Linked DNA regions of Neurospora crassa OR74A. The protein of the gene in region 1 interacts with the protein of each later gene in a pairwise test. Links are inferred from orthologs where the notes say so. Each region holds a gene or a part of one and is shown in the gene's direction. Other genes may lie near its edges.

Region 1 (4,257 bases):
GAATCGTGACTGATCTCCTCTTGAATGTCTGTGTCTTTGTCTTGCTCACCTTGATCGCGGAAAAGTCGGCGCCCATGATGACGACAACCTGGCCCGCTGCCGTGCAAGGACTTCAACGAGTCCAGTTACAGAATGTGATAGTCTCGGCTGAAGAGGCCTTGAGGTTGTGATAAAAGGCTATGAGGCTGAACAAGCCAAAAGTGGTGGCCGCGGCGTAAAGTGCCCCTGTTGCCTACGGAGGTTCCGCTTGCGACAAACCTATGTAACATATACAAATGCGGCACGTAATCGCGTGCGGAAAGGTGTACCTGCGCTAACTGCGCGCGCAGTACATACTGTAGCCACCTGGGCTTGACAGCCCAGACGTTGTGGAACAGTGCACTGTAGAGTTCCTGGACTGGGCTCACCCGGCCCTTCCATGTATCGGGTCTCTGTGGCATGGCCCGACTGAGCGAGGCCCGGGCCCAAAATAGCAACGGAACGACACCCTCAAGGTTGATGAGATGCAGAAACCTAACAAACTGCCCTGATGATCCAGGGGTATCGACGGCCTCATGTAGGGATCTCAGAGGATGTCTTTCCAACCAACAACATCTGTTCCTATACAGTTTTGGACCTCCACAAGTGTGTTTCTCGCTCATACCTCTAGCTTGAGGACTTTTATTCTTTTGTCTTCAGATCATCTTGACCTCTTTTGGTTGGGATAGTGAGACGCAGGGATGATGATACTCGGATAGAACGGTGATGATTGGGCAAGGGATCATGAGCCAATCTTAATACCAGTTCGATGTGATTCCATCATATCAATCTGCCCCCACCAGGGGCAGTTTGGGAAGGTGGAGGATTAAGCCAAGTCATAGTTCCAGCCGCTATGCCTACTTATGCTATTGTATGGATGTACGCAGTACATAGTAATGTGGACATATATGGCGCCGCTGAATGTGCCACCAATGCATACGAAGATGACCTTTATCACCATTATGCGTATTGTTTCAGGTTGACCAGCGGCCTTTTCAGTGCTCAGTTGACAAGTTTCTATCATTGAGTTTCTTTCATCCTATTCTGTGCCGATTTGTGGTTCCATCACTTATATGAACCATCGGTTAGGTTCAGATGATGGATGTTTCGGATGGTGGATGGGAAAAAGAAAGAACGGAAGAAACCCGGACAGTCCCTGCGTCTTGACCACTAACAAATTCCCCGCCTGTGATTCAAGACATCAGGGGTGATGATGTGCCCAGCTAAGCCGCTTTCAGCGCATCGAGACCCCCTTTGCCGTGATGTTGAGGTCTCCCACCAGAAGGTGCAGCTGTTAAGAGAGTGCACGGTGCACCCTCCCGCGCCATGCTGGAGTTGCCCCTGCGATTGCCGAGCGTTGTTAGGTTCGCGTTCACACGGCAAGGAACCCCAACCTCACTCTCTCTCAAGTGATCTCTCATTCGGCTCATTCAACCACTTCACCTCAGTCCAGTCTCGCTGCAACTTCTGAATGGTCATCTGCCTCTGCCTCTCCTTTTCCCGAGCTTGTCTCTATAGCTGATAATTCGCGGGTGAGCCAGCCACCACCGGACAACGCTCCACCCGTCGTCGTTGCCATTGCTCCTTTTCTTTCCCAATCATCGCTCATAGAAGACCACCATTCATTTGCCGCCCGATCTCAAATCAACCTTCAATTTCGTCCGAGTGGGTAACTAAGCCCGTCCAAGACAGGCCCTCCAGTGCCCCACGCGCGCGCGCGCTTCCACCCCAAAGTTAGGTACCGCCAACGACCTGGGCCAAATCCACCAGACCCCTCGAACGGGAGAGTCCGTCCCTGACGAGCCCTGACGGTTTGACCAACGAACGGCATTTTGTTCTTCTCCTAGTTCAGCCTCGGCGTAGCTGTCTAAGTACTCTGGCACTTTTGGTAGTGAGCGAGCTGAGCGTCGCATACCTACCTACTCATCACCCCTCCTTGCCGTCAGCCAGGTCGCCAGTATACTGCCTCTACACTACACACTAGGTAGGTAACTACAGTACTCTATCTATACTTCCAACACGAGATCCAGAAGTCGAAGTCGACGACATCCTACACTACTACCTAGGTATTTCCAGGTTTCGCCGGCTACGCTACACGGACAGACGCGGGTACGGATATTTGCGCCCGCTCGTACATTTGCGACTTGACCCCTTTGACTTTCACTTGAGTTCCATTCCCTTCGAAGATCTGGATTGTATTGCCAACACGGTCTCGATGCAGTCTAGTTTGGGTCAGCACACATCCATACACATCTCGCCCGAGTGCGCTCATCCCACCAGCTAGCAGTGCTAGCAGCTAGCCTATCTCGAGGCCCGCCTCTGCGCAAAAGCTTGCCCGGGCACGGCTACCCTCCGAACTCCTCAACTTGACCTCATGCTAAAAACACCAATGGTTCATGCAGCAGGAAGGCCATGCTCACCAACCGTTATTGCCCGCAAAGAACATGATGCGATCCACCCAGGGCCTCAGACACCGAGTCCATTGACGGCATTTGCTCCGTATCCATTTCAACGCACTCATTTACCAATTGACCCACCCGCGCATTGATTGCCTATACAACTACCCACTCCGCGCCTCGAGACGAGACCCGACCCGGCCCGGCCCCTCGACACCCCTCGACGCCCCTCTACAGCGATCCAGATACCCACGATACCCGCTCGCCTATTGCTGAGGAACCACCCCCGAACAACACGTAGGCAGCTTGCGCTGCTGGGACTGTACTCTGGTGTACTGCCCTGCCGGTAGCGAAGCGGCCGCTTCACACATCCCGTCCCGCGCCATGTCCTCCCACGACAAGAATGGGAGGGCTACCTCCTCGAGCGGCAAGGCCTCCTCCTTCTTCTCGAGAGCCACTGGCAAGAACAAGGCCGACAAACGGAACGCAAGCGATGAGGGTGGCCGATACCTTGCCGCCGACAACGACGCCGCCAGCACCCATACCGCACGCAGTTCGCGCCATTACCGGGACTCGTCTGTAATATCGCTGGACCGTCCCGACACGCCCGAATCTGGCCTCAACATGACGGCAGGGGTCGTCACGACGATCCCCTATGACCCTGTTTCCCCCGACAATCGCTCCCCCGTCGCCCTCGACCACCTTCCCAGGCCCGACCAAATGCCCCTAAGGCGAGAGCTAGTACCGCACCACCTCAACAAAGGCACTGGTGACTTCCACCAGTATCCCACCATCGACCAAAGCCCAAGCTCCCCCTATAATGGGCAGTCACCCAGCGCATCAAGTTCGCGCTCAACTCTCGCTACTGCTAACATCACCATGGCCTCCACGGGCCGCCAGGCCCAGTTTCAGCAATGGGGACCACCGAGAGAGAGCAGTTTGCCCGGGTACAATTCCAGAGGCCACTCGTACATGACAACCCGCAGTTCGGGCGACAATGCCAGCATCTACTCAGGTAGGGACGGACACTACCAAGAAGCCCCAGGAACCAGCCATCGCTCATCCAGGATAGGACTCCCTAGTACTTCGTCTCAGTCATCCTACCTTTCTCCCCATGCCCATAAGGACAGAGATACCCAGCGGTTAACCAAGGTCGCTGCCGGCCACCAGGGCTCCGAAGGATTCAACTTTCCCAAGCCAGACGATGACAATGTGATTGAACAGATGTTCATAAACCTGATGCAAAAGCGAGGATGGCACAACCTCCCGGACCAGGCCAAGCGCCAGATGATCGCATACCCCGCCGCGAAGAAATGGACCTTGATTTACCAGGATCGACTCACCGAGTGGCAGGGCGAACAGAAGCGCAGACAGACGGCCAAGATTGGCCAATACAGCAATGTCGATATTACCCAATCCTCCGATGACGAAGGCAGCCCCGAGTGGTATGTGCGCAAGGTCATGGAAAACGCTCTGGACAGCAAAGGGCTCGGAGGACTCGAAGTCAACCTTCGGACACAGCAGATCGGCTGGGTCAAGCGCTTCATCGACTGTCAGGGACAGATCGCCTTGACCAATGTCCTGCTAAAGATGAACCGAAAGACTGCCTATGGACCTGCTCAGCCGGATAATGGAAGATTGGATAAGAATTTGGACCGAGAATATGACATTGTCAAATGTTTGAAGGCTCTTATGAACAACAAGTTTGGCGCAGACGATGCGCTAGCTCACCAACAGGTTATTGTGGCTCTGGCCACCTCCCTTATATCACCTCGGCTCACCACCCGGAAGCTTGTCAGCGAAGTCCTGACATTCCTCTGCCATTGGGGCGAAGGCAAGGGCC
Region 2 (4,068 bases), on another chromosome or scaffold:
CTGACCGCTCCGTCTCTTGGTATATACTGTGTAGTGTATCGACAGCCGAGAGGAAATGGGGTATAGTGTGGTGTACATACTGCGTATGCCAACAAGACAGGAGCTTCCATGTTTTTAATATCATGTCCCGTCCTTCCTCCCACCCCATCCCCTTCCTCCATGTTCACTACTAGACTGTCAAGAGAGTCCTGGACCCTGATAATGGATGGCTGAGAACAAAGCCCAGAGCTATCAGCAAATTACTACCTATGTAGTGTACACTAGGGACACCCAAAATAGGCGACCGGAAGGAAGAGGCCCATGGCGCACTGTGCCTGTTCCTGTACCTTTTGGCGTTGGTTCAGGGGTTCTGGGCAGGCAGTCTGGAGATTAGCAGTTATCGCCGCCGCCCACTGGACCATCTTTGCTGCTGGAGACTCGCCTCGCCTGCCTTCGCTCGCTCGCAAAGCTTCCACTTCCTCTGAGTACACTACTAAAATCCTGGGGGGCCACGGCAGCAGCGCGTGCTTTCCCCCTTTGATCGACAGCCAGCCGAGCCAGCGCAGCGTGTCGGGTGTCGGATTACTGCGGTATGGATGTCTAAAAGTGGTTCGAGTGGTAATTTGGCCCGTCCCCACCGTGCACTTTTGCGCTTGTCATCAAAGTTGAAGAAACAAAAAAAAAAAAAAAGGTCGAGAGTCATGTTCGGGAGATGGCCTTATTAGCCTTATGCAGCAAGTCCGGGGTAGCGAAAAAGGGGAACAGGAAGGAACATGACGACGACGATTTCAAGGTCGGTCCACTATTAATATCACCAAAATCAGCTCTCTTTTCGCGTGCAAATAGCTGAATTACGGTAATGGAGGTGACGGTGTTAATTGTAGAAGAGGACCGGTACGTACCGCTTGCTGAGGATTCGGGCCACTCACAAGTCACATCAAGCCAGCACCTCCCTTGTCTGGCCCTTTGCTCTTGGCTCGTCTCGCACCCCTACCGGCTCCTGTACAAGTGATGGGGTATTCCGACACAAAATGCAGTATCTAGGTAGGGACCTAGTGTGTTGGATGAAAAATTAGGTCGGTAGGTGTCGTCTGCCTTCCTCTTACCACACAGTACCTGTAGCCTCCAGGCTGCGACTGCTGCCAGATGGGACTGTGTGAACCCGACTGAGTGACTGCCTGTGCCTGGACAGCCCGCCCGTTCCCTGGGGCTTCTCTGGGGCTACCCACTGCCTCGCTCACCTCACCACACACGGCAGCACCCACTGCCCTCCCAGCCCAGTCTGACTGCCCGGCCCTGGTTCGCTGGCTAAGGTTTCCACCCTCTTCCAACCTTGCCCGTGGGAGTCCTGCACCTGGCTATCTGGTGGTCCCCCCGTCCCCGTTCCCCGTCTCCGTCTCCGTCACAACACAACTCACAACTTGAACAGGTTAGCACACCACCAGCGGCCACTACCTACCTACCTACCACCACCACCGTCCATCCTTCAACAACCACCCAACACCCCCATCTCCATTTTCCTTCCCTTTTCCATTTTGCATCTTTTATCGACCAAATCCAGGCCGCGTGATACCCTCTCCCGTCCTTTGCATACAACCCGTCGACAACGAACAAAGCACCGTCCGTCGACATCACTCAACTCAACTAAACAACTTAATCTCTCCTCCCCTATTCACACAACCACCAAACCGACGCCATGTCTGCTGAACTCCGCCGAAAGCTCGTCATCGTTGGCGATGGTGCCTGCGGCAAGACCTGTTTGTTGATGTATGTCCATTTCCCCTATCCACATCCAAGAGATTGATGCTGCTCTTATAAGGCGCGCGTCGTCGTCGTTGTCGTCGTCGTCGTCGTCACCGCCGCTCTCCCCCCATCACAACCTTTTTGCTAACCGAATTTCCAGCGTCTTCTCCAAGGGAACCTTCCCCGAGGTAAGTCAGGCACTTGTCTGTCGGGACTGAGACGTCCATCTACACACCTGCCCTCGACCGTCTGTTCGCTACACCGCCCCAACCGCCTGACGAAACACGCATCTTCCTGCCAATTCCCGCGTCTCGCCTCCCCCCCCGAACAGGCTACATCCATCTCCTCAGCCCGATGAACCATCAAGCCATCAAATTCGAAACACCCGCCCTGTCGCCATCATATCCGCATCCGAATAAGCGCTGCTCAGCCAGCTAACTCTCTGCGCCCAGGTCTACGTCCCTACCGTTTTCGAGAACTACGTCGCCGATGTCGAGGTTGATGGCAGACACGTCGAGCTCGCGCTATGGGATACGGCTGGTCAGGAGGATTATGACCGTCTCCGTCCCCTGTCCTACCCCGACTCTCACGTCGTCTTGATCTGCTTCGCCATCGACTCTCCCGATTCGCTCGACAACGTTTCCGAGAAGGTCAGTATCCCGCCTGCTTACTTGGCGCGCCCTTGTCTTTGAGGCTACAATTCGCTAACAATCAAAAACAGTGGCACTCTGAGGTTCTTCACTTCTGCCGTGACGTTCCAATCATCCTCGTTGGCTGCAAGAAGGATTTGCGCCACGACCCCAAGACCATTGAGGAGCTCCGCAAGACCAGCCAGAAGCCCGTTTCCCCCGAAGAGGTACGTGAGGCTGAGACATTGGCGGCTGATGATGCCCCTTTTGTTTCCAAGTGCTTTCCCTCCGCTTGCTCGGGAATGTATGCTAACGCGCTCATCAACAGGGTGAGGCTCTGAGGAAGAGGATCAACGCCCACAAGTACCTCGAGTGCTCGGCCAAGACCAACGAGGGTGTCCGTGAGGTGTTCGAGAACGCGACAAGAGCCGCCCTTCTCAAGAAGACAAAGACGAAGAGGGGCCTCTGCAAGAGCTCGGTCTAAACAAACCCACAGCTCTTTAGAGAGATGCTTTTATTTCTACCGCACGACGAACAACATCATCTGCACCAAGCCCTCCCCGGATAGCCTCGCAACATGTAATCAAGCAACGGTTTTCAAAGCGAAAGATGATCATCACCTTAGTTGATAATTCTCTGCCCATGACGCCGTCAATGCTGCTACCGAGCGGATAATATTTCACAGAGAGAAGAAGAAAGGGGTGTGGAGAGCGCAAATGGGGAGGGGCTTGGGATTTCGGGGATACTTATGGGCCTTACTACTCGATATTTAGGGAGGATAACTGGGTCTGGACTCCTTTCCACTATTTCTGTGTGTGTGTGTGGTCGGCGTGGACGGGTGCGTGGCTTGTGTTCATGTATACACAAACGGAGGACACCTGAGGGCGGTAAAGGGAAAGAGAAAGACTGGAGAAAGGAGTTTTGCGGTTCAATATTTCTTGTTTCTTCTGGAATCACATGCCGCGTCTCTGGCCCCCCTTACCTGTCTCCTTTATTTCTCTTTCTCTGTCACTGCCCGTGTGCGTCTGTCTCTTATCTCTCTCTCTGTGTCTACCTGTCTGTTATTAATCTCTAGTTTTATCGCGTTCTTGTTTATCTGTCTCCGTCTGCTGCTGCCGCTGCATGGTTCAAATTGGGATTTTGAGATTGAATGTTCCGTATAGTTTGGGCGATCGGCATGGCGAGGCCGCCGAATGTCCCTGCTACTTCCATAGACCGTTGACGACAATTGCTGTTACCTACTGTACATCCTCAGACCATTCATTGCCCGTCCCCTCTTGCAATACTCATGTCAACCACTGACACGAGCACAGACTTCTTCTACGTCAGTCAGCCCGTTTGTCTACTTAGTCTTTGAATCCGAAGTTCAGTAATCATCACGCTTTGCCGACTATGCAATCCGACGGGAGAGGCCGCCGCCAGCTCCAGACCCAAACGTGAAACAGTTGATTGAATGAAGGACGTCATGTCTATCAAGGGTAAACCTAGTTAATGTTCCCGAGTCATCACACTCAGCGCGTGAGGTATGCCAGAAAGGCATGATTGGTCTTGACAGCCAACGAAGCTAACACTTGCAAGTAAGCTATGATGTGCCATACATTATACACTTTGCATCTCGAACACTCTCTGGGACTTCTTCATCATAGCCAACAGAGGGGGGAAAGAAGCGGTAAACATAACACTTTCAAAAGAATATATATAAATATATATACGCTCC
Region 3 (3,708 bases), on another chromosome or scaffold:
CACCGGATTTGGGCGATGACTGCCTTGTCCTTGGTAATGACTGTCGAAGAAGTACGAAGCATGCGGTGTATCTTACATGTGTACGTCTTTTACCATGCTGTCAGAGCCAGGCGCTAGACTCTCAGGCCAGCAATTCTGATGTCCACCAGCGCGCCAAGACTTCGGTTTAATGATGTTAAAAGGGGCCGGTTATGAATCCGAAAATGTCGAGGCTACGTCTCAAAGATGCACAACTCCAGTCAGCGACAGCCTGCCTGACTGGAACCCTGGACATCACACGCCCTTGAGCCAAGATTCGTATGATATAGGAGCTGCCGGCTTGAACAGGTAACCTTTGGTTTTCACCATACCTTTAGATAGGTAGCTTATACCTCAGGGATTTGTGCCTGTTGTTGGCGCCTGGGTCCCGTCGTCTCTTTGTTGAAGTTTGTCATGTTGGATGAAATGGAGGTCTAGAGGAAAGAGGTGCTGAATGGATCTCTGATTCGCCGTGCACTAACCGACATCCACGAGGCAAGCCGAACGCTAGAGCATGCGTCTGCATTCAAGGAGCTCCGCTTGTTGTTGGGACGACAGCGGGATGGATCCGAATGCTTGACCCTCTTGGCGTCATATGCAAACTGTTTTCTGTGCTTTCCAACCCCGTCATCATCTTCACTGATGTGTGCGCCATGCAGACAACGGGCGTACTTTGCTGCTCCTCTTTGTTGAGATGAATGAGGGGCATCGGAGCAATGAACCCAACATGGTGTTGGGGCACAGCATCAGAGAAGATGGACGTCTGTCAGAATATCTTCATACTGTTGTTGATGTCAGACTGAAACGTCGAGAGTACGACAGCAAACTCTTCTTGCTGTCCGTCTCGGCGGTCAATGAGGCGGAATGGGGTCGTGGAATTCCACGGCCCTGCAAAAGAACGGTGAAGAATTCCAAGTCTGGATGAAGAAGAAGCTGCCACCTGTTTGTTGAAGAGGGGCCCACTGTTGACCACTTCGGTTGCTCCCGTCGATCCAGCTTGGAAATGCCGCTGGGAGTCGATGGAAGGATGCTTGGTCCTAGAGGCTGTCTGCTAACAATCACCGTGTTGAGTTTATACGATCGTATGTTAAAGAGATACATACCTACCTAGTGTACAAGTAAGTCTCACCTGCCGAACCCCTCCGCGACTCCGAAGAGGTCAACGTCCAGGCAACTTCCTTTGGCGGGGCACCTCGCTGAACCTACCTAGTGACGAGGAGGGGCCTGGCTGGTGAGGGGGCTCCTCTCAAGAGCTTCTCTTCCAATCCACACAACGGGAATCCACAACCACCAGGCACCGTTACCCGGCCCCATTCACCAGCTGGCCTTCGCTGGCTTCCCGGTTTAGCCCACTAGAATCCCAGGGGGACCAGTGAGTCGTTCCCCTCCACTGTCATGTCACCGCTTCCCCTTTTCGCATCCAATCCATAGAGGTATCCAGTCGCCGCTCCGCTATCTTCCGCCGCCGCTTAGCCCCCCCAAGACTACCGGCCCCCCTCCCCCCTTTGCCAACCGAGCCGCGTTTGTTTGGGTTTCCCTTTTTTTAATCCTCCCCGAAAGCCAGCTTCTTCGTCGTCGTTGTCTGTCGATACACTCCTCCTTCAACTCAACCACCGAGTCCTTTCCATCACACCAACATCACACAAATCCCGACAAAATGTCCTGGCAAGGTCAGTGCCTGTTTCCGCCTGGGCCCTCTTCCCGTCCTTGGGAGCTGTTTCACGCCCAACCCCACCTCGACGGAAGCTGGGAGAATAAGCAAGCTAACCCCGAATGTCTTGAACAGCCTATGTTGACTCGAGGTACGATATACCATTGGAAACCACCCGAACCCATGAACACAACGAATTGCGACGCCATCGACTGCTAGGGGTGTGATTGCCTGCGCCTGATGGTTGTTCGGCTTCGGCCCCAAGAATGCGGAGAACCACCTGTACATGGAAACGGACATGGACATGATGAGCTAAGACGTAATCTCCTACATATAGCCTTGTTGGCACCGGCCACATCGATAAGGCCGCCATCATCAGCGCCGCTGGTGACAGCACCTGGGCTGCGACTCCCGGCTTCACGGTACGCCTTGTCTCGCCAACTTCCCCCCGATTTCTGCCCGCACCCTTTCCCTGCCCTCATCTCTGTCTCTCCTTCGGGCGCATAAACGGTCGGACATCTACAATGTCCGAGAAATCCTGGTCAGGGAGGCTGTTTGCACCGGGGAAGCAGAGAGCGGGGTTGATGGCGTGATAGGACCCCCCGACGATGTATCGGGCGCCAAAGTTCCAGAGAAAGCTAACAATCTGTGACGTATTATAGCTGAGCCCCGATGAGATGAAGTTCATCTCCGCCGTCCTCGGCGATAATGGCAAGGGCTCCAACGTTGACAAGGTTTTCGCTGAGGGTCTCCACGTTGCCGGTCAGCGCTACGTTGCCTTCAACATCGAGGGTCGCCACGTCTACGGTCGCCAGGTGCGTACTATCTCTATCCCCTTATCGTGTCTCAACCTCAGACGCCCGAACTTTAGTCGGCCGCGCTGCTCCAGGCATCCCCTTTCCAAGCCTCGTATGTTCAAGCTCACTGATGGTTTTTCTTCCCCCCAAAAATAGGGCAAGACTGGCGTCATCATCGTCAAGACAACACAGGCCATCCTCGTCGCCCACTACGGCGAGAACGCTGTCGCCGGCAACTCGACACAGACCGTCGAGGCGCTCGCCGATTACCTCGTCAAGGCCGGATACTAAGTCATGTCGGGAGGTAGTGGGAAGAAGGATGAGATGATTGGATGTCTTAAGAGTCACTGAACAAGAAACAAATGAAAACGGGATGAAGACAAGGAAGACGAAAGATGGGAAGACGGAAAAGAAACCGAAAGACTTTCCTGTGAAGGAGTATTGGGGACTGGTGTACTGGATGGATGATATCCTTAAACAGGCATAGGCCCTTGGGAATTTTTTTTTTCTGGAACTGACAGCACACTTTGGCGGAATTTGCCTTTCCATGTCAGTCGAGGCTGCCGGTGGTGAAAAACGTTCCTCGTCCGTTGTTCCATCATTGGGGTTATATGGTATCGTGATTTTGTAGACAATTTAACACCCCCCCCACCCCGGAACCATCTATAGTATTTGATTCTTCCTCTCAAAATTATGCATGAAAAGAAAGCCCGATACTTCCCTCTTCATATTACAACTTGGGTATCCCAAAGTTCGCTCCAACGCCGTTTGTGTGAATGTGCATGTTGATCGTGGGCATTAGACCCTTCATAGGCGTTCCCTCTCCTTTTCGTTTCACAACCGTCGTTTCTTCGTTCATGTTCCCGTTCGCCTCGTATTCTTTCTTTTGCCCTCCCTTTCATAGCGCGAGCGCTGAACCTGTCTTGCGCCCGACCCGCCGATGTCATTCAACCGAACGGCAAAGCGAGTATTCGTGAGCTTTCGAAGAGCGGCGCCATGGCCCAGACCATATCCTCGTTCGGCACGTTTGCACTATGCCACGGCGCCCTCGCCTTTTCCCCTCAACACTCAATCCCTCCATTTAAACAGGCAAATCCGCATTCTGCCTCGCTACCACACCAGACCGATCAACCGCGGTGCCGATATAAGGTCCAATAACAGGAATGTTGCGCGCGAAACCCGCTATCGTTCCCAGGAAGTCGCCAAAGAGGATCATGATCCCATAAAGCTCCACGCAGAAGC

The links.
Region 2: the proteins of bni1 (region 1) and rho-1 interact in a two-hybrid assay, tested with the Saccharomyces cerevisiae proteins (2 studies listed by BioGRID). The link is inferred for Neurospora crassa OR74A from reciprocal best matches to the Saccharomyces cerevisiae genes BNI1 and RHO1.
Region 3: the proteins of bni1 (region 1) and NCU06397 interact in a two-hybrid assay, tested with the Saccharomyces cerevisiae proteins (3 studies listed by BioGRID). The link is inferred for Neurospora crassa OR74A from reciprocal best matches to the Saccharomyces cerevisiae genes BNI1 and PFY1.

The regions. Positions count from the first base shown.
Region 1 is NC_026505.1:4,767,497-4,771,753, forward strand, and holds the start of bni1 (cytokinesis protein sepA), read left to right. Parts: upstream 1-1,455; 5' UTR 1,456-2,002; intron 2,003-2,420; 5' UTR 2,421-2,798; coding exon 2,799-4,257. Other genes in the region: NCU01432 (hypothetical protein), read right to left, coding at 50-76. UniProt on the Saccharomyces cerevisiae protein: Required for the assembly of F-actin structures, such as actin cables and stress fibers. Nucleates actin filaments. Binds to the barbed end of the actin filament and acts as a leaky capper, slowing both polymerization and depolymerization.
Region 2 is NC_026502.1:3,340,987-3,345,054, forward strand, and holds rho-1 (rho-type GTPase), read left to right. Parts: upstream 1-1,213; 5' UTR 1,214-1,675; coding exon 1,676-1,746; intron 1,747-1,882; coding exon 1,883-1,910; intron 1,911-2,174; coding exon 2,175-2,372; intron 2,373-2,443; coding exon 2,444-2,578; intron 2,579-2,679; coding exon 2,680-2,835; 3' UTR 2,836-3,714; downstream 3,715-4,068. UniProt on the Saccharomyces cerevisiae protein: Acts as a central regulator in the cell wall integrity signaling pathway, which is regulated by the cell cycle and in response to various types of cell wall stress.
Region 3 is NC_026504.1:2,646,446-2,650,153, forward strand, and holds NCU06397 (profilin), read left to right. Parts: upstream 1-1,226; 5' UTR 1,227-1,675; coding exon 1,676-1,688; intron 1,689-1,804; coding exon 1,805-1,820; intron 1,821-2,006; coding exon 2,007-2,091; intron 2,092-2,331; coding exon 2,332-2,484; intron 2,485-2,622; coding exon 2,623-2,757; 3' UTR 2,758-3,201; downstream 3,202-3,708. Other genes in the region: NCU06396 (Got1 family protein), read right to left, coding at 3,548-3,708. UniProt on the Saccharomyces cerevisiae protein: Binds to actin and affects the structure of the cytoskeleton. At high concentrations, profilin prevents the polymerization of actin, whereas it enhances it at low concentrations. By binding to PIP2, it inhibits the formation of IP3 and DG.